Diceros bicornis minor: one gene and its partners. The protein of the gene in region 2 purifies or fractionates together with the protein of the main gene of each other region. This does not show direct contact. Links are inferred from orthologs where the notes say so. Each region holds a gene or a part of one and is shown on either strand. Other genes may lie near its edges. The genes, in order: PPP1CB, PPP1R10 and TOX4.

The links.
Region 1: the proteins of PPP1R10 (region 2) and PPP1CB purify together in Homo sapiens (affinity purification with mass spectrometry; 5 studies listed by BioGRID and IntAct, with this or other methods). This does not show direct contact. The link is inferred for Diceros bicornis minor from reciprocal best matches to the Homo sapiens genes PPP1R10 and PPP1CB.
Region 3: the proteins of PPP1R10 (region 2) and TOX4 purify together in Homo sapiens (affinity purification with mass spectrometry; 3 studies listed by BioGRID and IntAct, counting the BioPlex papers as one, with this or other methods). This does not show direct contact. The link is inferred for Diceros bicornis minor from reciprocal best matches to the Homo sapiens genes PPP1R10 and TOX4.

The regions. Positions count from the first base shown.
Region 1 is NC_080751.1:54,244,571-54,252,846, forward strand, and holds the start of PPP1CB (serine/threonine-protein phosphatase PP1-beta catalytic subunit), read right to left. Parts: upstream 3,412-8,276; 5' UTR 3,321-3,411; intron 3,105-3,320; 5' UTR 3,017-3,104; coding exon 2,965-3,016; intron 1-2,964. UniProt on the Homo sapiens protein: Protein phosphatase that associates with over 200 regulatory proteins to form highly specific holoenzymes which dephosphorylate hundreds of biological targets.
Region 2 is NC_080753.1:34,473,193-34,480,892, reverse strand, and holds the start of PPP1R10 (serine/threonine-protein phosphatase 1 regulatory subunit 10), read right to left. Parts: upstream 3,353-7,700; 5' UTR 3,145-3,352; intron 2,963-3,144; exon of another isoform or gene 2,831-2,962; intron 2,815-2,830; exon of another isoform or gene 2,607-2,814; 5' UTR 2,083-2,606; exon of another isoform or gene 1-2,082. Other genes in the region: MRPS18B (small ribosomal subunit protein mS40), read left to right, coding at 3,472-3,549, 4,720-4,828, 4,936-5,033, 5,161-5,229, 7,029-7,095.
Region 3 is NC_080744.1:27,880,544-27,888,394, forward strand, and holds the start of TOX4 (TOX high mobility group box family member 4), read right to left. Parts: upstream 3,001-7,851; 5' UTR 2,929-3,000; coding exon 2,923-2,928; intron 2,712-2,922; coding exon 2,643-2,711; intron 1-2,642. Other genes in the region: RAB2B (ras-related protein Rab-2B), read left to right, coding at 3,335-3,380, 3,615-3,686, 6,090-6,157. UniProt on the Homo sapiens protein: Transcription factor that modulates cell fate reprogramming from the somatic state to the pluripotent and neuronal fate. In liver, controls the expression of hormone-regulated gluconeogenic genes such as G6PC1 and PCK1.

The DNA of each region.
Region 1 (8,276 bases), on a different chromosome or scaffold from region 2:
AGAGGATAGAGTGGCAGACATCCTTGGCTTTTAGTTCTAAGTAAAACATAACCAAAGAAAATATACTAGAAGAATATGCACTACCCAAACAATAAATTAGGATATTATTTTGCATTAAAAGTAACAAAATTTTAAAAATGTTCTAAAGGCATTTTGAAAATATTACACCAATGATACGCCCACCTAAAAAGAAAAACACAAAGCAACTCATAAAATGTAGTTACTAAAAGTGTTATAGCTGATTGGCAATTTGATATAAGAAAAAAGAATCAAGAATATGCTGTGGAACTACAATCAACATTTTAAAATGAGATCCAGTCCTGCTGATTTTTTCCCCCAATGGAGAGAAATTCTGGCCAAATTTTAAGTTGTAAGTTCCTTTAATACTACAAAAAAAAAAAAAAAAATTAACTGTAGCTATTCTGCTAGGCAGCTTTACAAAATGCCACCAGTTGAATTTGAGTTAAATTTAATTAGCATGTAACATCACTGAAAATCAAGGCAGACAAAAAAATTTTTATTTGAAGACTAAAAATACTTATTAGAAAATCAAAGTCTGTTTTGGAATGGGTCTAAATTTTGAAGGGGGGAAGGAGAGGAGCCTGGAGAATTTAAGAACCCCAGAGAGGCACTGTCAAACTAAATGTACTTCCTGGGATTAAGAAGCAAGTAATGAAATTCTTTACTGATGGGAGTGTGTTGAACACATAAACAGAGAGGAGGCTAGGAAAGCCTGAAAATCACTTGTTTAGACTGGGAGCTCCTTGAGTAAAGAGATTGTGTCTTATCTTTGGATTCCTGGTGACTGGCACAAAGCAGGTCAATAAATGCTTGGTAATTTAAAAGGGGAAAATGTCTGGACTAGAATTCTCACCAAAAGAAGGAAAAAAGATTGTCCAAAACCAAACGTTCAATTTGAGTTCACAAAAAGAAATGGAATCACTCACTCAGCCTATTTTTCCTACCATATCTTTTTTCCAATAACCTTGAACAATCCACTAGTGAAGCTTCTGACATATCTATAATCACAAAAAAATACGTTTAGGGGCCAGCCCGGTGGTGCAAGTGGTTAAGTGCTCTAGCTCTGCTTCCGCAGCCCCAGGGTTCGAGGGTTCGGATCCAGGGCGCGCATGGATGCACTGCTTGTCAGGCCATGCTGTGGCGGAGCCGCAGATAAAGTAGAGGAAGATGGGCACGGATGTTAGCCCAGGAACAATCTTCCTCAGCAAAAAAGAGGAGGATCAGCATCGGATGTTAGCTCAGGGCTGATCTCCCTCACAAAGGGGAAAAAAAACAAGTACGTTTGACTTAAAAAGTTCCAGATCAACCATTTCGAAATACATAAATCTACCATTTTATTCCTATGAAGTATATAAATATGTAAGTATATGGAAAATAAAAGTGAAGAAGTTGATATAAAAACATTAAATTTTTAAAATATTTAAATTTACAAGCCAATTTTAAAATGTATAAAAATGGTGATGGGCCTAAACTTCCCCAAGAGTTAACAAGACATTAAAGTTCTTAAATAGCTATATTTTCCTCTTTCAACAAGGCACAATTACAAAATACAATTTTTGTCAAAGCAAATGTCTCACAGACCCAGCAAGATGTGCACATCTGTTAAAGTCCACAAAGTCTTAAGTAGTGAACACTGACTGCAGGCACCAGGGGGCCTCCCAGGAATAACTTGATAGTAAAGGAAAAGGTAAATAAGACTTCCCGATGAAACTTTGCTTCTCATTCAGTCTTAGACTGCTGGAAGGCTTTCACATCTGGAGCAAATAAACTGTAGTTTGTTACACAATGGGTACATACAGAACCGATGAGATATCGACATACTGGTTGAAAAAAGGAACTAGCGCCCTCCCCCCACTCCCAATCATACAATCTTCTTTGATGATTTTCCAAATGTAACTACAGACTGCTTCACTGTAGTAAACAATTACCTTCAGGTAATCTGAAAGGAAGTAATAACAGTTACTGCATATGCAATCCTTCGCTGGTTCCTGACAGAGAGGATTCTAAATGTAAAGGCTTAATTTCTTTTCTACACACTCACAAAGCAATTAGTGATGACGCAAATTTTAGGGTACGGGGATTCACTGGCAGAAGACCGCGATTAACTTTGAATAATATCCTGGCCTCTCCGAGATCTCTTCGCTTTCCCTCAATCCCCTAACCCAACATAAAACTGTTCAACAAAAACAGAAGAGCCTGTAAACTTCAAAAGCTGCGAAGACTTGTAAATACCTTTTAAACACGAGAATCTTTACAACAGATCTTTTCTAAGTTCGTGCAGAAATTAAATCCTGCTGAAACCTGTTCAATTCTCAAGCCGGAAAGCCAATCCCTTCAGCAAACGTATCTACATATTTCACAGTTCTTGCGTGCATCTTCAGCTCAACGACTTTTGTTTTACTATTTTTTTAAGCTAAACAACAAATGGGAGGTACTTAACTCCCGCTAATGTTATCCTCTCCTTAAATAGAGTTCGTCCTATAGCATCATATGAAAACGTAGAACACTAGATCAAGCAATCGTCTCAAGCAGGTTTTTATAAAATTCACTCCCGGAACAAGAATCCAAGACAGCCAAGGGCAATGCACAAAGAGAACAGAGAGAAATACACGTTCCACGCACACACAACGCACAGGAGCACGCATCCCGGCGCCCTCCTTGGGAAGGGGCTCCGAGCACCCCCCGGCTGGCGCGCCGCCGGCCCGGTCGCCGAAGGTCCGCGGGGGCACTGCCCGCCCGGCCACCTGCAGGGACAGCCCCTCTCGCCCTGCCTCCCCCCGACCGCGTTCCCGGAGGCCGCTCCCCCGACCAGCCGGCCTCTTCGCCCCCTCCTCGGAGGCCGCCTTGGGGCGGGAAAGGGGGTCCCCTCGGATGTCGGCGGCGGAGCGGGAACGAGGACCGAGGCAGGCGGCCCCCCTGCGGCCGGCCGGGCCCCGCACTCACCCTCCAGCAATCGGGTGATGAGACTGTCCACGTTCAGCTCCCCATCCGCCATCTTGTCGGCACCAGACGCTCCTTCCCGGCAGCGGGAACAAGGGCTTCTCGGCGGCGGAGGCTGCGGCGATGGCTCGGCGTTCCCTCACCTACAAGTCACGCGTCGTTTCGACCCCGGCTCCAACTCCCCCTTTGCCCCGGGGCCCTCCCCCCACCCCCTCCCCACCAAGTAGTGAGCGCGCGCACACTCGGAGGCACACTCGAGAAATAAATAAATAAACAAGCGGAGCCCCCACGAACCGGGCCGCGTCAGACCCAGCCGCCACCTCCTCCTCCTCGGCACCGCCCAACTCCGCAAAGCTCACCAGCGCCGCCGACGGCCCCACCCGCAGGGCCACTCACTCCACACCGCCCTTCCCCGCCACCGCGCCACGCAGACCTCCGCGCAGGCGCACGGCGAACTCCTCCACGGCCCTCACCCCCCCCCCGCACGCCCCGGCTTTCGCGCAACCGCACTGGACTCGGTTCGCCCGCCGCCGCCCCCTTTGCGCAGGTGCGTCGCCCTCTCTCGCCCCTTTCACTGCGCCGAATCGCCGCAGCGCGCAGGCGCCCAAGAGGCTCCCCGGGTTTGCTGCGCCGAGGAAGTTCCCATTACGCAGAGCGCGCTTAGGTTGTGCTGCTCTTCCGGGTTCCCAGCGGCCTCTGTTGGGGCGCTGTGCAGACGCAGTAGTTGTGCGTTTCCCGCCTCGCTTTACTTTTCTTGGCTTTATTCCCTGGTTTTGCAAGCAATTCCTCCTGTTTCCGTTAAACGGGAAACGCGGACTGTGTTACTCATGTTTGAAACCCGGGTTTGCGCGTTTGAAAAGCAAGAAGGGGTTCCTTTGCTGGAAACATCTGACGTTGCAAATAAGGGGTTTTATACCCTACCGTTCCACAAGGCTAGTTGTCCAAGTGTCCTTGGATGAAATAAGTTCAAGTGGGCCCTGGAAGGGTTAGCAATAGTAATATTTTACGGGGATACCACTCTCTGCCTTCTGTTTAGCGCTTTCATATATATCTTACTGATGTCATCGGGTATTCAGGTACCTTCGGGCTGGCATCATTACGTCTCCGTCTACTCTGTTAAAGAACATTTATTTATACTCTGCTTTATTTCAGAAGAAGGAGTTTAAGGTAGCTTACGTAAATAAATGCAGTAGGATAAATTAAAAATAAGTACAGAGAAAAATAGGACAAAAGAAAACAGCGTGGGAAAGGTAAGATAAAACCAGCAGTTTTGTATGTAAAATGCATCGTTTGCTAGGCATAGGCCACAGATATGATTCTAAGCGTTCTGGCAATCAAGGAAAAGATGGGTTGCAAGTGGGGTAGGTGTTCTGGCTGAGCTGGAACTGGGACGTGAAGACATCAGATTGTGGAGTTAGATGCCACTTTCCCAAGGCTCTTCCATGAGCCTCTTAAAGAGCAACATAATGCTTGGGAACACTTAAATAGGTGTCTGCTTATCCTTCAGTTTTCATGGGGCCCATGAATCCCATGAAAAAGAACTTTGAACCCTGTCCACAATTAAGGTTCGAATATATGCAGATATATTTAATGGACAAGGGACACCCAAAGGAAACTGGACTGCGCAAAGAAAATGAGCATCTGAGAGAAAATCACCACGAATGGGGCAGAGAGAGGCCAGACTCAGCAAGTTCTGGGAGTCAGCATATATTGGAGAGTGGTTCTGAGTACTGCCTGCGGATGTCCCCTTCTCCACCCCCAACCAGGTTTTCTGGTGCCTTGGAATCCTGGGAAAGAAACGGCTGTTATAAAAATGAAAGAGCTATATCACTAGGGGCCCAACCAACTTTTCTGTGGGAATCCCCCTCCAAAATTATATAAGAATTCAGATTCAGAATTCTTCAGATTTTGAAGTTTAAGAGGTGCATGTACTCTATATTACTTAACACCCCAGCAGCTTCTGGGGCAGCTCACTATAGTCTGAAACGTTAATTTTTTTAAAGAAATCATGAATATTCACATCATGTAAGATAAATAAAGACTACATTATGCCTCATATCAGTTTAGGTCAAATTTGCCATTAACGTAGCCTTTTTTTTCAGAATAAAATGTGTTGATTGAAGGAAATTTGGAAAACAAAGAAAAAAATATAAAAATCACCTGTAATTTCAGCATCCATAGATAACCACTTTCCTGTCTTATTTCTGGGGGGAAAAAAAAATATATATATATATATATCCACACACACACACACACCTATTTTATAAAATTGAGATTATGCATCACTTGCATCTTATCCTACTTTGTTCAATGAGTTTTGGTGCCACATTTACATGACACTCAGTTTTCAAATTTTCTTTGGACTTTAAAATGTGGATAGGAGGGGCCGGCCTCATGGCTTAGCAGTTAAGTGCACGTGCTCCGCTACTGGCGGCCCGGGTTCGGATCCCGGGCGCGCACCGACGCACCGCTTCTCCGGCCATGCTGAGGCCACGTCCCACATACAGCAACTAGAAGGATGTGCAACTATGACATACAACTATCTACTGGGGCTTTGGGAAAAAAAAAAAAGGAGGAAGATTGGCAATAGATGTTAGCTCAGAGCCGGTCTTCCTCAGCAAAAAAAGAGGAGGATTAGCATGGATGTTAGCTCAGGGCTGATCTTCCTCAAAAAAAAAAAAATGTGGATAGGAGATTGAGGACAGAGGAAGAAGTAAGAGGGGAGATCTGGAGGCTGGAGTTGACAGTGCTATAGACAGCAGCAGCAATAGAGGCAGTGGGAGCCACCATGAGGTTCAAGAGTAGGTGGGTACCAAGGAGAGGGAAGCCCCATTTGGCAGATGCTGACATTGAGGAGGCTCTTGGCCTGAGTATGAGCAGTGGCCTGGGGGCAGAGTGGAGGTCACCATTTGGGGAAGCTAGCACCTTGGAAGCAGAGACATAAGAAGGCTGCCAGTGGTGTAGGAGACATTGGTTGGACCAGGCACTGTGGTGGGCAGCAGCCCTGTAGAGCACCCAAGCCTGGAGACCAGCAGACTTTGGAACAGAGGAGTGGCAAGTAGTGGTTCTGATTGCATGTAGGAAACTGCCTGTCACTCTTTATGGATGTGTAGCAAGACTCAGGAAAGGAATCAGGCTAAGGGCTTGCTCCTTGTTAGACCAGGATTGTTAATCTAACAGACCAAAGGGCAAACTGTTAGCTGGGACTCCCAACCCAGTGGGGCTTTAGGTAGTGGTGTCCTGGAGCCAGCTTACACTGGCTCAGGAGAGCCAATTGTTAAACTTGCAGGAATTTTGCAAGCCAGTTGTTAAACAGAGCCATTGTTTAATAACTAAATTATATACTTTCAAATAAATTATACTAAAAACAAAGGAACAAAGGTAATGATAACTCAAAATTCATCATATCCGATTTATATTGCTACATTTTATTATTATGTATAGTCTAGAGGTTTTTTACATCTATTATATCTGTATGGTGGAAATACTACATAATGATATGCTACTATGCATCTCTTTCCAGCTCCATGTTCAGTGACGTCATATTGGCCACAGTGGGAGTAGTCACACCAAAGAAATTAGCAAATGCTATAAATCTATAGCTTTTTCCACCAGAGAGCTGGTTGTTAAACATTTACCAGCACACCACTGGGCTTAGGGAGACATTTGGGTCACAAATGTCAATATCCTTGGGTAATTCCAGAAATGTCTGTGAAGGGAAATTGGACTTCCTGATTGCAAGAGTCTTGGGGAATCATGATTTTGGGTCTTAATAAAATCATGGTCTTATTTGTACTTACTAAGAGGAAATGCCTGGGACATACCAGTGACCATTAGATAAAGGCAGACCAGTATTCAGAGGAACCCAACCATCTCTGTGCTGAGAACAGAGAGATATCTCTATGAATTGTCCTCAAAGAAGGCACTTTGGAACACAATGTACAGCAGCCTCATGATTCCTTTTAGTAAACACAGCACAGACATTCACAGGGATGTTTTACATGCCTCTCAATGTTGACCAATAGCCAATATATTGTGAAAATCAGTAGGTTTAGGTAGCAAAATGTGGAGGTTGTGATAGTGATATATAACTCTCTGCTGCCCTGACTAATCCAAGGTAGCTTGTAAATGAATGAATCGACATTCATTGGGTTGTTCTTCCATAAGTGTGATCCCTCTTAATCAAGTCTTTAATAAATCTTAAGTGGCAGTAAATTTTACTGGATATACCTTGAGATCAGCCATTCTCTATATCAAATGTCATATGCTTTTGTAGTTGGTTTAATTCGATGATATTGAGAAACCAGTCAAAGACACATGCATCAGTAGGAGGCCACCCCTCTCAATACAGAGCCAGGGCTAGGTGGTACACTCAGGCGAGGCCAAGATTTTTCCTTAAGATTTAGTTTTGGTTTCATTTCAATACATACTTGAGAGAATAATCAAGCGCCAAAGTTATCGGCTAAGTTGTAAGGCATGTCCTCAGTCATTTTAGCCCCCCAAATTAGAAAGCCAGGTAGAAGCAAATGTCTCTTCCCCTGCCCTTGGTCACTCTCCCCCCACCCCCACCCCACCCCCCATTCTGATCCCCCAGCACACACACACAAACTGTCAGTGGAGCAGTGGAGCGTTGTTTCTTAAACTAATTCTCTAGTATATCCTTCAAGATAAAAGGATTGCAAAATAAATGCCTAGTAATTGAAGGAATTAACTGGCTGTGTAGAACTGTTAACTATAAGGCAATTAAAGTTGGATGGGCAGCTACCTCAAACGATGACTATTTAATTTTTGAAGAGTTGGTCTGTGGCCCTTCTTTTTTTCTTCTAATTAGATTACAGGGCCAGCTGTCTATTTGGGTCACTCCTAGTTTGTTACAATAAAACCGTGTCATCTACATGTGTGAGATTGTTTCTCTTTCAGTGCTCTCCCATACTGCTCATTCAAACAAGATACCAGGAAATAACTATGTGTGTTGGTGAAGAAAAGTATACAAAATGTGAAGGTTTGTTTCGAATAAAACAATTTAAATGTTTCATTTCTAATGATGGTTGCTCTCCTCATAGAGCATATCCAAATTATGCATGCGTCACCTTTTCAGTTGGAAAGGGTTTATTTCTGAATGGTTTCATAAGCCTCTGTTTCAATTGGTTTTGGTAAATAAAACAAACAAAGCATTATTAAGTTTTCTAATGTAGTTATGAAATGAGTAGCTCTCTCCTAAGACCACATTAAAATTAGTGGCATGGATCTCCTAAAACTAAAACCAAACGTGTCTGTGAGCTGTGAAAAATATTTATTGGGGAGACATCCAACAC
Region 2 (7,700 bases):
CAATGTACAGGAGCTAAGCAACTGGAGAACGTGATACAGCACTGAACACAAAGAGTTTATCCCCAAACCCAGAGGCGGGAATAAGGGCCATTTAGAAGAAAAGTCCTCAAGAACCCACCCTCCCCCAGATTCTCATTATACAAAGCGACCAAATGCAGGAGGCCCAAGGACTGGTTCCTGAGCAGAAATGGGACATTCCAGTGTCATTAGGCCCCATTTGTCTATTCAAGTTATCCTTTCACAAGCTCGTGTCTTTCCCCAGTATCCCCAACACACATATATACATACACACACGCTCACACACTCCCCAAAAAGGCTCCCCGGTCTTAAAGGATAGTTGGTTTGACGGGCTTTCCACCCCTGGCAACTGAAGCAGGGAAAACTTCCAAGCAGTTGTGATGAGTGAAAAGAGAAAATAAATGCAACAGGCTCTGATTATTAAACATAAAAACTAGAGCTGCCCAAGGAGATGGACAGCCTCAAGACCTAATTCCTATAAGCTTTTTTCCTTTTAAGATAAAGGCTATAAAATATTCTAAAGAAAATAAGGAAAAAGTCTTTTCCTATCTAGCAGCAGCGTGCACAGGGAAATCAATCCAGAAGGCATCTGCTCAGGGGTGGAGTTTCAAGAGGGTGGAGAGAAGAGGAAGCAAGCTGATTACATCACCTTTCAAGGCTGCTCCTCCCCCTTGACCAAGTTTCTAGGGCGGCCCTAAGCTCTGGATGGCAAAAGGGGGAGAAAAACAACAAAGAAGCAGGGACGCCATTTTGTAATGAAGAAGAGGAAAAGATAAAAAGCTGTCCGGGCTCTGCCGGGAGCTAGTTACATTAAAAAACACCCTTTTTTAGTAAAAAAACAAAAACCAGCCCCCAATCCTGAATGGTCTGACCTATTTGGAGTCAGTAAGAGCGTTGTGAAAATAAAAGCAATTAAAATATTAAAAGAACAATTTTCTGCGGGGAAGAATTGAATTTGCAATTGAGGTTCAACCTGCTACCACCGACCACCCCCATCCTTCCTATAAAGGGAAAGGGGGAGGACTTGGACCCCTCTCATCAAATAGGGTCGAGGTGGGAGGACAGGAGAAAAATGGGTCAACACACAACCTGCGACGCCGCCGCTTGGAAGACAAAAGGACAAGGAAAGTCGCCATATTGAAGCAGGGAAGAAAAAAATTCCTTTTAACGACACAAATCTTTTAGAAAGCTAGCATTCAATTGCACTAAATGGCTTTTAAAATTATTCTCCTGAATTCCACATTTCCCAACCTTTCCACCCGCTATTTAACTGTATCCCCCCACCAAAAAGTATCAAGTTAAAATGTTAACCACTTTTTGCTTTTAAATAACCTACGCAATCTGCAACAATTATAAAACATTCTTTACCTCCCCAAGTATTATCTTGTATGTACTGCCACTAAGATTATATTTTGCCCTGAATTAAGTGTCTTGCAATCTTTATTCCTAGATTGCCACCTATTTTAAGCACACAAATATACCCCAAGCAAATTACATTAAAATTGAGAGGATTTAACAATCATTTTAAGTCATAGCCAGCTATTATTTCTCTGCCCATCTCCTTACCCTGCAATCTTTATGTACAGATTGCTTATTAATCTGGCAAATTGAAAGGCGCCCTGCTTGTCTCACACACAAAGAAGTGGGACTTCTGGGCCTCAAGATCCACCATCTTTTGTATGTGAGCTCATTAACCCTTTTGAAGACTGCTAACGAGAGGAAGGTAACCATTCCTCTTTATAAAAAGCAAACACTTATGGCTTTGGCAGTCTGGAAATTGGCTGGATTACCAAGGGTTAACCATCAAAATCCTCATTTGCTGGCCCTCCCTCCACGCTCTCCTTGCCTGCAGCAGGGCAGGAAGAGGTAGGTGGTAGGGGAAAGAGATCAAGACTGTTTAGACCCAAAGGCCCTTTTTAATGGAGATAGAGTGACCGGCTTGGTCCTTCTCCAGTTCTCTATTTTGTTCTACGGTCTCATTTCTTCCTCTCATTATTTTTGGTTTCACAACGGGAAACGTTGATTTCTTGTTGCAAGGCTGGTTTTTGAAAATTCGACACTTACTATCCAATTTTTTTGCGACGTCAGCACCTCGGGCTCAGGGGGAAGGGGATTAAAATTTTGGAGAAAAAAAATAAAACAACCAACCAGGACCCAAAACTCAATTATTTGGGGGCCTCATTGGATCAAAAAGTCTCTTAAAAAAATAAAGGCCAACTCAGTATTCATTTCCCCCCCAACCCAACTCCATTTAGGGAGGGGGGTCGTAGAAAAAAAGTTCTGAGTGGATTCAAAAAAGTAAACGCTGGTTGAGTGAATTTGGGCGGGTTTGGGAAGGGAGGGTGGTTGATTATTTTTGAAGTTATGTGGTGACGGTCCTTCGGCCACAGATTTCAAGTCCCAAGCAGCGTGGGCTGGTGGGGTGGGCAAGATAGATGGGAAGGGGCAGAAGACACAAGTGGTTGGGCTGGTGGCTGCTGTTTTCCCTTTCCCCCCTCTCTCAGGATCCTTTCAAGGGCTTAGATGTTGCTGCGGCTTGTTTCTTTTTTCCTCGCGGGCAGCCTGTCTTTCTCCGAGAAAATTCAAACCTAGGATAAAAGGAACACAAAGGAGAAAGATGTAATCAGTACGGCTTGCTTTTAAACACCCAAAAGTTCCATCTTTGTTATCCCCAAACACCTCCAGATCCCATCACGAACACAGCCGCTTCATATAAACCATGGCTCTCAACTGAACCCATGCCTGACCCGTTTCCCAGCGCAACGCTCTCCGCAAAATCTTACCCCCTAACCGACAACACACCAAAACTTACCTCTAAACGAACCCCAGAATGGCGGCTGCCCGCTCGGGCGGAGTCTTTTATACCCGGACGCCGCCCAACGCGCCTAAACGTGCTAGTGAAACGCCCTTGTCGCGCGACATTGTGCGCGAGGCGTGAATTCATTGGTCAACGAAAAAGACAACTCTCTAGCTGATTGGCTATCCTTCCTTCGCCTTCGCTCAGCCCCTTCCCCCCAGCACCTTCTTCCGCCTCCTTCCTGGCACCCACCGCGTGCGCGTGATCGCAGAGCCGAGCCCCTCCCTTTCCTCTCCTTCCACCACTTCCGCCCTCGAGACATTTCTCACCCTGGGTTGGTAGAACCGGGCCGGCGCATGCGCACTGAGACGATCTCGGTCCAAATCGCCTTCAAAATTGTTTAAAAGGCAAATTCTAAGAATGAGATCTAAGAGTCATAGTGACCGGTTCAGCAAAAACGCAATTTTGAGGCCGAATTCGATTGTGACGCAGTTGAAATTGGCTTCTCCCCACAGCCCCCCTGCCACGCTTCCGTCCTGACGCAAGTGCGCGGCCTCGCCCCGCACTGCGGGCTTGTCCTTGCCCCTACCCTAGTCAGTTTCCTGGAGCATGCGCAGTCGCCCTTCGGGCCATTCCTGCTTTGGGAGTACGTCAAGATGGCGGCCTCCATATTGAATACGCTCCTGAGGCGCGTCCCTAGCCTTTCGCCCTTCAGAGGCGCCTACGGAGTTCAGGTAACTCCTTGGAGCACGCTTTGTACAACCCCAACTTAGTTATTATCTTCTCTAGGTTATCGCTCCACTGCTGGGAATCCAGGAGTGGAGACCTTCCCCAGTGCTTGGGCCTCGGCTGTCTAGGCAACACTTTGCTTCCACCACTCTCTCCCTTTCTCTCACCCTCCTCGATGCTGCGCGCATTTTCTAATCCCGAGCCGAGGGTAAAGAGCCAGGGTTAGATGTCATCTTCTTCCCAAGTTACCATCTCGGCTGAATAACTAGGTGAAAATATGGACCCGTTGGTCATGCACAACCAGCTCTTAAACGTGCAGTTGGTGTCTAAACCTGTGATGTCCTGGAGTGTCCTTGGGTTGAGGGACACGAACTTCTACCAGCCCTGCTATCTCCGAATAAAACCAGGATACATTCTCACGACCTGGGGACCAGTTTCTTAGCTCTCTTTATCTCACTAAGTCACTCTCTTATCAGAGTATCCATGAGAGCTTAACTCAGTCCTTTGGATTGAGGTTTCCCTCCAGTCTCACGTACTCACCACCCTGGAGGTTCTTGGTAGGACAGGGCAGGTTCTTGGTGGGGCAGGGTGAGAAAGGAAGGCTTGCCCACTGCCACTCCCAAAGTGGACTGAAGAGTGGTGACAGGGGTCACCACGGAGTTAATAACAGGCCTGGTAGCTTTAAAGCTGGCGTTAGGACTCAAGTTTGTTCTGCTCTGTGGAATGTTGACCTATTTTTTATAAGGCTGGGCAACTCAGTGATTCGGGTTTGAATTGAGTTGAAGACACCCGGCCTCTGTATCCCCTCCCTGCCACACATCTTACCTCCAAGAAGCTAGGCATTCTCCCTTTTGCTCCACTAGACTCAGTTCATCCCCCAAAACATGAATACCTTACATGTGTCAGGTTTTTCAATTGTCTTCTCAAATAAGGTTGTCTCCCAGTCAGTTATCCTAGTTAGCCCTTAACATTAGCTTCTTTTTCAGGATCCAGATAGGGAGAGTGGTCCTTGATGATGTCAATTTAACACTAACAAAAATGCTACCTTCCATGTATATTCCTGCTGTGTTCCATTAACACAATGGGCGTGCATTCCCCTTTTCCCCAAGGTTTAGGCAGCAAAACAATCAAGTGCCTTCCTTGAACTTATTCTATTTTTCGCACTCTTTTTGTAGGTTCTCCGCCAGACTCTTTGCACCGAAGCCCCCCGTGAGGAAGATTCTGTGTCCCCGGTTCCCATTTCCCCTTACCAGAATGAACCCTGGAAATATCTGGACTCAGAAGGTACCTCTAAATGGGGAAGGGGGGAGTCACATGGGGTCTGAAATAAATGGACAAAGATGCCTTCTCCACCTCCACCCAGGAATTCCTTGTGTGGTCTTTCATTTCAGAATACCAGAACCGCTATGGTTCTCGCCCGGTCTGGGCTGACTACCGCCGCAATCACAAAGGTGGAATACCGCCACAGCGGACACGAAAGACATGCATTGTAAGTTTCTGGGGGTGGCACATGGATGGGATGGGGTGTAGAGGTGGAGGCCATAGTGACAGTGACAGCAGCACTTTTTCTGACAGAGCTTTGAACATCTTCACCTGCCAGTTTCTTCTCTCTACAGCGTGGAAATAAAGTTGCTGGGAATCCCTGCCCTATCTGCCGGGATCACAAGCTGCACGTCGACTTTAGGGTAAGGAGACGTTTTTCTGCAGGATAAGGATTTGGAGCCTCTTTTCAATGCTGAAGAGATTACGATAGGTGCCCACTCTTCTTCGTATCTTAGTGCCTGTACAATCCATTTTGTACTGACTTTCTGGCAATATAAAAAATCTTTCCCTCCATCCTTTTGTCACCTACTGTGGGTTATACTAAAAAGCTTCATCCCGGGGCCGGCCCGGTGGCGTAGCGGTTAAGTGTGCGCGCCCCGCTGCTGGTGGATGCTAGGTTCGGATCCCAGGTGCGCACCGAGGTACTGCTTGTCAGGCCATGCTGTGGTGGCATCCCATATAAAGTAGAGGAAAATAAGCACAGATGTTAGCTCAGGGCCAGTCTTCCTCAGCAAAAAGAAGAGGATTGGCATGGATGTTAGCTCAGGGCTGATCTTCCTCAAAAAAAAAAAGAAAAAGCTTCATCCTTTACCTATGGAATTTACAGTTTGAATTGGCAGGCAGGAAAAATGCCTATTTCTAATGGGAAAGCAACGCCCAAAGGTTCATTTACATCCATCACAATTATTAGCAAGTAGATCGGGCTAGTTTTTTCCTGAGGTTTTCTTTTATTTCTTTGTCATGTTGATGTTTGTTGTGTCCTGAGAGTTGGGGCTGGGGACAGATACATGAAGCAAGGTATAGAGTCTAGGGTTTTTTCCAAAAAGTCTTCATTGTGAGGACAGCACTTGCTCCTTAAAGAATTCAAAAACCTTATAAAAATGATAATGGGAAAAGTGCTCTTCTGAGCACGTAGTAAAGGTGTTAGAGCAGAAGTTGAATGTCTGGTCATCAGGAAAGTTGGAGGGCATGCATGTGTCAGTCGGCCTATGGGGGTGTCTGACTACTCTCAGACCCCTTGGGACACAGGTTGTAGAGAGGTCCAGTAGATAACTTCTCGATTTCAACTTTGTACGATTGGTTATAAAAAGAGATTATACCCAGTTGAATACAGTTTATAATCAATTGCATAGCTGAGAGAGAAAAAGATTACAACTTGAATAGTGTAGATGATTCTGCCTGCCATTCTACTCCACAAGTGTACCTGCTTTTTCCTTGGGTCTCACCTCCTGTAATGAACTTGGTAGCTGAGAGTCATTCTACATAATTACAACTGTAGAATTGATCCTAATAAATACATATATTACATACAGCATGTTATCATATGCATTAATCATTTATACGTGAACATTACAATATATATTACATTTTCTGGGTGATTTTAGGAATTGCCAGCTGACTGTCCCCAATTTTTTGCAAGAAGGGCTGATTTTAGATCCTAACCCCTGCAGAAGAGAATTCTATGTGAGTCTCAGTGACAAAATGTAGGGTGTACATGTGAAATGGGTGAAAGGCCAGGAAAGGGGGAAAGTTTGCTGGAGTTTTCAAGAATGTGTTCAGTCAAGTGATGGGGCTAAAACTGGGAGGTAAAGGAGGGTAGCATCTGGAGAGACATAGAGGGGTTAGGGTCATCGTGTGGGTGTGTAGGGATTGTGCGCTTTCAGTCTCTAAAGGCCTTGCTGGGCCGGCCCCGTGGCTTGGCGGTTAAGTGCACGCGCTCTGCTGCTGGCGGCCTGGGTTCGGATCCCGGGCGCGCACCGATGCACCGCTTCTCTGGCCATACTGAGGCTATGTCCCACATACAGCAACTGGAGGGATGTACAACTATGACATACAACTACCTAGGGGCTTTGGGGGGAAAAATAAATAAATAAATAAAATTATAAAGGCCTTGCTGCTCTCCCCTCCCTCTCTCATGTTTCTCCACTACTCTCCCCCACAGAATGTGAAGCTCTTGGAACAGTTTGTCTGTGCCCACACGGGCATCATCTTCCATGCTCCATACACAGGTTAGCCCATGATCCCTGTCACCACCAGAGTAGCTTTTCCTTGGAGCAGTTCTCATTTATTCCTTCAGACAACAGGTATTTGTTTGGTGGCTCCTACTTACGGCATAAAAAGTGTGATTGAACCTTTTGGAATTCTGGGCTTAATGGGGATACTCACATGGTAACATGTGGACAAAAGATACAGGCAGGTACAAATGTAAGCAAACGGTTTAACTGAGGCTCTTAAAACATAAATGGTGGTGATTATTTCCTTTCTATAGGATCTCTTCACTTTTACGAAAGGCTTTCTCAAAAACTGACTGTCACATGAGTTCTTTTATACCACTGACAATTCAATTAGATTTCCCAAATTTGGAATTGTAATCTTAACAATTCAAGATTATATCTATTCCTTAACTACGACCACAGGCAGGATCTAGCTCACTCCCATGTCCATTTGTTTTCATATTGTCTAGACTGCCTCCAGGCTACAATGGCAGAGTTGAGTAGCTGAGACTGACTGTAGGACCTGCAGAGCCTAAAATATATGGCCCTACACAGAAAAATTTTGCCAACCTCTGCTCTGAAGCAAGATAAATTTGCAAAGGATAATCTGAATCCACTGT
Region 3 (7,851 bases), on a different chromosome or scaffold from region 2:
CAATTAACCACCACCAGATCAAAAATACAGAACATTTCTATCACTCTAAATGCTCCTTCCCAGTCAATACTCCCTCCCTTCCACAACAGGTACAACTATTCTGATTTCTATCACCACAGTTTTGTTGTTGTTAGTGCCACCAAGTTGATTCTGACTCCAAGCGACCCTGGGTACAGCAGAGCGGAAACCTGCCCATTTTTGCGCAATCCTCTCATCTTCCGGCACCGTATCACCATAGTTTAGTGTTGTCTATTCTTGATCTTCATTAAAAAATGAATATAGTGCCTACTCTTTTATGTCTGGCTTCTTCTACTCAACGCTACATTTTTGAGATCATCCAAGTTGCATTCATTTGTAGTTTGTTCTTTTTTATTGCTGTGTAGTATTCCTTTCTACACATGTACCAATTTACAGACATCTGGATTGTTTCCAGTATTCAGCTATTATGAATAAAGTTGCTGTGACCATACACATTTTTGGAGACTATATGCACTCACTTCTCTCATGTATATATCAAGGAGTGGAATTACTAGTTAGGTATATGTTTATCTTTAGTAGACAGTGCCCATTTTCCAAAGTGGTTGAATCAATTTACACTCTCACCAGCAATGATTAAGAGTTATCTACATCCTTGTCAACTCTTGGAATTGTCAGTCTTTTAACTATTCTGATGTATGTGCAATGGTGTCTTGCTATGATTTTAATTGGCATTTCCCCAGTGAGTGATGATGTCACTTTTTCATATGCCTGATGGTAATTTGGATATCCTCTCTTGTGAAGTTTGTGTTCAAATCTTTTGCCCATTTTTAAATTAGATTCTTTCTTTTATTCTGCAGAAGTATTTGATATATTCTGAATGAGTCAGATATATGTATTAAAATATCTTCTCCCAGTCCGTGGCATGCCTATTTAATGTTTTAATGATGTCTTTTGATGAAAAGAAATTCCTCATTTCAATGAAGTTCAATTTTTCAATTTTTTTATGGTTAGTACTTTTATGGACATCTATCTTTTTCTTAGAAGAAAACTCTAAAATTACTCTTCTCCTAAAAGAAAACTTTAAAAATATTACCTTTACCTAGTTCTAAGTTATATTTGGGGTGGCCCACGGTAAGACAGATATGACAAAAACCACAAACTAATTAAAATAAAAAGGTTAAAAAAAACAAGAAGGAAAGGGAAGGTGAAGAAGTTGTAATGAGGAGAAGGAGAACTGTTAACAATGACAAAGCCCTGGGCTAAAGGAAGCTACTGAAATTTAGTTATGAGCATCTTGGCAAAACAGTTTTGTTTTTTAATTTCTCAAAGTCATAGAAGTAAAAACAAAGAATCAAATCTAGAAAGTTTCTTGAAGAGGCCAATGTGAAACTTACAACAGTCTAAATAAAGAAATTTAAATTGTGGAGACCTGATTCAGAAGAAATTGGCAATGATGCACTTGCATGTGGATGAGGCCAATGTGAGATTTACTATGCTCCAAATAATGAAATTAAACCACAGAGATATCACTCAGAAGAAACTGGCAATGAGACTGCAAAGCATCAAACAGATTTTAGTTTTATAACATTTCTAAATTTGCTGCTCATTTGATTCATATTTTTCCCTGCTTAGGAGAATAATAATAACAATTAAAAAAAGTTAAAAAAAACTAGCAACTGTCTCTTGTCAATCTAATTCTCATTCATGAAAACGTTAAAATTTATTATAGGATAAGCCCATTCAACAGCAATTGAGAATTCTTGGTATAAAAAACTTATGCAAATGGTACACACTACTTCTTAAAAAGAAAATTAAAATCCTCAAAAGATAGTAGCAAGTTCAAGACTTCACAGTTTCTCAAAGACCAGGAAATTTATTTTTGTCTGTTCCATCTTTCTCTTTGCCTATAAGTAAGTAATACATATCTATATTATGACAATATTTCAACCCAAACTTTTCTACGAATACTAAAGGACCTCACCATAACCATTACTTCTATTTCACATCACAATAAAACTATTATTACAGCCATTTGACAGCTGGGGAAACTATGACATACAAAGGTGAAGTAACCTGCCCAAACTCTGAGTCGCTGGCACACAGAAACACATGTTCTACTCAACTCCCTTCCTGTTTTCTAGCAACTATCTCCTTTTATCCTGTCACTAGCAAAACTAACACCATGTACGTAAACATAACTATAACTTTTCTTTTTACCACTGAGCAGGAAATTGAAGTGAGACAAAGACCCCTTCAACAGAGTTCAAGAATGAACAAATGTCCACAGTTAACCCCGGCTAGGTAAACTCCTCCCCTCACCCCAATTTCTTCAGCTGAAACATTTCTTCCAGCTGCGATCCCCCAAGATTGTTGCAGTTATTTCTCTCGAACGAAAGGAGACAATTCCACTCTGCCTTCCGATCCACTCTCTCTCTTAAATAGGTTAGCTCCTTCCAACGTCCTGCTTTTCTGATGACAGCAGCTTCCCGGGCCTTCCCCATAGTCCTCATAGGCTCTAGAAGCAGCTGCCACTTTTCCCTACACACCAATCGCGGCCCCTGGTTCCCAGCCCCCGGTCCCCGGCGTCCGCGCTCTCCTCCCCGCCACCCTGCCCCACCGCTGCCTCACGCCCTCCCCCCACAGCGTCGGCAGCTCGTGCTCACCTCGGCCCCCGACAGGAAGGGGTGCGAGGGCCCTGTGATCGTCAGGTAATTGTCATTTCCTCCGGGAAACTGGAAACCAAAAGAAAGCCGCGGGGATAAGTTAGGGGGAGTAGGGACTTAGCTCGGAGCGACGGATTCTGACCCCGACATTCTGACAACACTCCCCAAACCCCGCTCTCTCGCCCCTCCCGTCGGCCGCCTCTCCGCCCAGCTTCCCGCCTCCGCTTCAACTGCGTTGGCCGCGCTCTCTTGCCAGCCTTCTTAGCGTTCAGCGTCCTACCTCCATCTTCACACAACGGCTACCAAGGTCTCAGTCCCCTCATCGCTCCCACCGCCCCCACAGGGCTCGAAACCGCCGTCACTTCCGCAAAGACGTGCGTCGCTCTGCGCTGATTGGAAGGAGCGCCGTGGGGCTGTTGCGAGTCAGGCCCGGGAAGGCCGAGCGGACGGAAAGGCTAGCTATCGCCCCCTGGAGCTTGGTGGTATCATGGCACGTAGAAGTGTTAGAGGCGTCCCCGCAGGCCGTGTCTCGGTATTACCGTCGCTCTGACCGAGAGAAGATTTCTGTGGAGAGCAATAGAGACGTGATCTGGGCTAGAGGGGCCGGAGATCGGTAGATTGAGTGGCTAGAGAGGCCGGAGGTTAGTGGCTGTAGAAGTCGGGCGGACCCGGAATCCAGAGGAAACGGGACCATGACTTATGCTTATCTCTTCAAGTACATCATCATCGGGGACACAGGTAACCCGCGGGCGGCTGCCCTCAAGGCTGGGGCGGGGATCCTAAGCTCCCAAATTGGGTCGTGGGGGCGGGGCTCCTTTAGTGGGCTGGGCGATTTCGAGAAGAGCGGGCGGGGGCGGGGCGGGACGGCCGGGGGCGGGGCTCGGGGCTCCCCTTCCCCAGTCCCGGACGGCCGGCCTCAGAGACTGTTCCTTAGCCGGTGTGACTCCTGGAACGCTCGTTCTTCCCTTTCAGGCGTGGGGAAGTCATGTCTCCTCCTGCAGTTTACAGACAAGCGGTTCCAGCCTGTCCACGACCTCACAATAGGTAAGTGCATCTACCTGTCCCAGAACAGATAATAATGGCTGACTAGCTAAACGGGAAAGTTAGGAGCCTTCATTGTTCGAAGTAAAAAGTTACCTCTTTCTACTTTTAAACTAGTCCAAAGTTATGTTAAATGAAGAGTGGCTAACCAAATGCTGATAAATGGGTAGTGTAGTGGGGTGTAAATAATTGAAAGGTAACTTTAGAGATGAACGTGAGGTATGGATCAACAGCTGTAGGACTTTTTTTTTCCCCTCCAAATGCCATTTGTGTGTTTATGGAAAATCCCACGAAAGCATAACTACTTATTCAAAAATTGGCTTTGCAGTAAATTAATGCTAACCTCACATGTTTTTCAAAGTAATCACCAATACAGGGAATTTTTTGTGTGTTGGAGAGGAAAAAGCAAATTGAAGAGCCATCCCAGACTTAGAATTAAAGAGTGAATGAAACTATCAACTTTTCTTGTAAAGAAAAAGAGTATGGTCGAGTTCCAAAAGCACTGGTGATCTTGGAAAGTGTAAACATGTGCCACGCATTTGTGTTAAGGCATGGCCTGCTGGGGCTTTACTAACCCCTTCCCCATAATCTGCGTAACCCCAGCCCAAATAAAGAGTATAGGTATATAAAACTAGCCTTCTTGCCATGCAGATGCAGTTTCTGAACAAAATCCCTAGCTCTTATTTTTACCATGTTGTCACTTCAAGTCCCACCTTTTGGAAATCTGAAGCTGCTACTGCTCCCAAAGGACTTATTCAGAGCCAAATAACTAATGGGGTTAGAAAAGGATTTAGAGGATAGCATCAACAGGAAAATGTTTTTGTAAATAAATATCAAGTGAACACCCACACTGTGATATGTGCTAATGATACAGTGCTTAACCAGGCAAACATTGTGCCTGCCGGTCAGTAGTTTACAGTCTTCCAATGTAGGAGGTGGGGCTGGGAGTAGATCCTGACAAATAAATTCCTATTGCAGAAGGGAAAGAAAGGCTGCCACCTCTCTCAGGAAAGGCTGAAAATTGAAGAAAGAGTAGGAGTTATCCAGGCAAAGGTGTAGAGATAAGGGAAAGGTGATCAGGGCAAAAGGCAATAACATATGCAAGGCTTGGGAATGGCAGAGATCAGGCTAACTTTGGAAAACTGAAAGTCATTTTAATATGGCTGGAGTATGGAGTTTGAAGTGGAGAGTGGCAAAAAATAAAGCTAGAGAATAAAAAAGGTGCCAAGTCTTGAAACACCTGAAGGTAATGGGAGCAAATGACAAGCTTTAAAACGGAGGAATGAAATGATCCAAGTTTTCCCCAGTGTCCAATATAGGCTGTGTTTCTTTCTGAATTCAGTCTTCTGTACCAAGATAAACAGGCAGTTGGAAAGAAAATAGGTGCAAAATATAATGGTCTCTGAGTGCATAACTAGAGGAAGTTGCATAAAAGGAATCAAAAGTTTTAGTTTTTAATTCTTCCTCATTGAAATTCCATTCCCATTGTCCAGAAAGAAGAAAAAATTTAGTGACTTTTTTCAGTAGCTATCACTTCTTGATGAAGCAGTCTAGAGTAGTAAGAAACAATTTTTATATCTTTCTTATTGACTGCAGCACCTTCGAGGTGAGAGAGACATTCTGGATATATTATACACGGGGCCACCGAATAGGCACATATCAACCCTTTATTGGAAGCTACATTAGTGCTTTTTCTTACTTGGAAATCAGAATTCCTCAAGTACTATGTAAAGAACAGAAAATAGGACAAATTTTCTGATTTATGATCAAGTATTTTTAATGCAAGTGATATTTGATTTTTAAATTTTGTCCTGACATTAACTTGAAAGAAGATAAATGCCAGGTGAACCAAAACCTTTATTCAGACTGTATGTTTCCATATTCCTATGATGGAGGCTCTTTTCCGATGACCTCTGGGAATTATTGGAGATCTGAAAGGTATCAGTCTTGAGAACCTATTTCTTAGATAGGTTCTTTTCTCAAACAAAAAATTCTAGAATTGCAAAAAAGAAATACTGTTTTATAGAGGACTACAGAGTGACTCAGAAAATGTTAGGAAATATTTTTAAAGTTTTTAGAAATTACAAAATTAAACATTACCTAATCAAATCTAAGCATTAACTAACATTGCTAAATTTGGCTTCTTATTTAGTTTTATCCCTGTATCTGCTTTTTGGTTACATTCCTAAGGTCATTAACACCCAGAACACTGTTTTTAATTCTAGGAGGGAAAAGAAACTTTAAGGAACACAGAATTAATTGGAACAAGTAGGCAGTAGTAATGGGCTTAGTGGCACTGAGTGCAGACAGAGCGTCATTAGCGCATTGAGGAAAAGCATGAACCTCTCACTCAACATGGCTGTTGTTCATGAGAATCATATTCTTTCTCTTGATCTTCACTGACAGGTGTGGAGTTTGGGGCCCGTATGGTCAACATTGATGGAAAACAAATCAAACTGCAAATCTGGGATACGGTGAGAAAGGACAAAATAATTTAGTCCCCAACTATGCCCCAAATAGAACAGTAAAGGCTGATGCAGGGGAAAAGGGCTCTGATGGTGGGGCTCATGGTGGAAATGAGAGTAGGGGAAGGATGAAAGCAAAGAGGTAGGGAAGCTTTCCCTTCCATTTGTTATGCTTGCAGATTCTGACTGCCGTTATCTTTTTATTTTTGTTTTAAATTACCCAAGTAATATATATGAGTTTGTTCTACTAAAAATAAAAGCAAATAATATAAGTGTATAGAGTAAAAATTGAATGTCCCCCTCACACACACAAACCTCTTGTCCCTCCCAATCTTGGTTTTTGCTTTGCCAGAGTAAACCACTATTACTGATTCAGTGTTTATGCTTTCAGACTTTTTCTCTGCATTTAGATACATACATTTAAACATATACAGATATATGGTATGGTTTTGTTTCTGTTAGTTTTTTCACGTATAGAATCATGGCAAAGTGGACCTATCTGTGTGACTTAGGTTTTTTTATTTAACAATCTCTATGATTTAAGACTTGGTCCCTGTCTTTAGACATTTTCATGTCAATACATACAGATCTACCTCATTCCTTTTAACCACTGCATAGAATCCCTCCCCAAAGCCCCAGTACATAGTTGTATATTCTAGTTGTAAGTCATTCTTGTTCTTCTGTGCAAGCCGCTGCCACAGCATGACTACTGACAGACGAGTAGTGTGGTTCCACGCCCGGGAACTGAACCCAGGCTGCTGAAGTGGAGCACGCCAAACTTTAACCACTGGGCCATCAGAGCTGGCTCTGATCAGATTTTTCATCTCACCACATTGTAGGAACATGAATCACTTCACATCTCTGATAATGGTAGCACTAGCCAGATCCCTCTAAAACTTCCAAACTCACTTCTAAACAGCTTGTTCCCTTCCATTTTCATTATTGGGGCCCAGGGGTTCTTTGTTAGTATTAATCCAAGTAGATATTACAACGCTCCTTTTATTATCCCCTGGTTTTTATATTTCCCACAAAGGTAGATTTGGCTACCTAAAGAGGCCACAGGACAAATTCTGAGGAGGTGACAAAGAGTGAAGCCTGTAGGTGTCAAGACAGGTATTAGCTAGATTCTGCCTTTTTAACCTAAACCTCTACCATTTCCAAAAATGGATGCTTTGATGCTAGGAGACCTAATAGCTGCCAGTTAGTGGTATGGTCATGGTCATGGAAGTGTCTTAAGTTTTGGCTTGCTGGCTTTTTTTTTTCCTTAAGTGATAGTATGAGACATGATTGGATCATGAAATAAGAAAGTTGAGAGCCACTGCTCTATTGACACACATGGAACCACATGTGAAGAACCACATGGCCTGATAGTCACTTGTAATGCAACTGATCTAGTTCTTGTCTGCTCTCTTTTAATAATTGTTTTGAAATTATACTAATTTTTGTTGAATCGTAAAAAGATACCATGTTTCAGAATATTGGAGTTTTCTATTTTGAAATTATTAAGAGATTCCTACCTATAATGTAGGAATTGTCTTGTCTGCCACTTTCTGGGTAAGCCTGATCATTTCTCTCTTGTCAGCCTTGTCCTCCTGCCCATTAGAGGTAGCTTCCCCACCTTGGCTTCCCACTTTGTTGACCCTACTTCCTTACTCCCAAAACCATCCTACATGAAAATGTTTAGGGATTACCATGAGGGTATT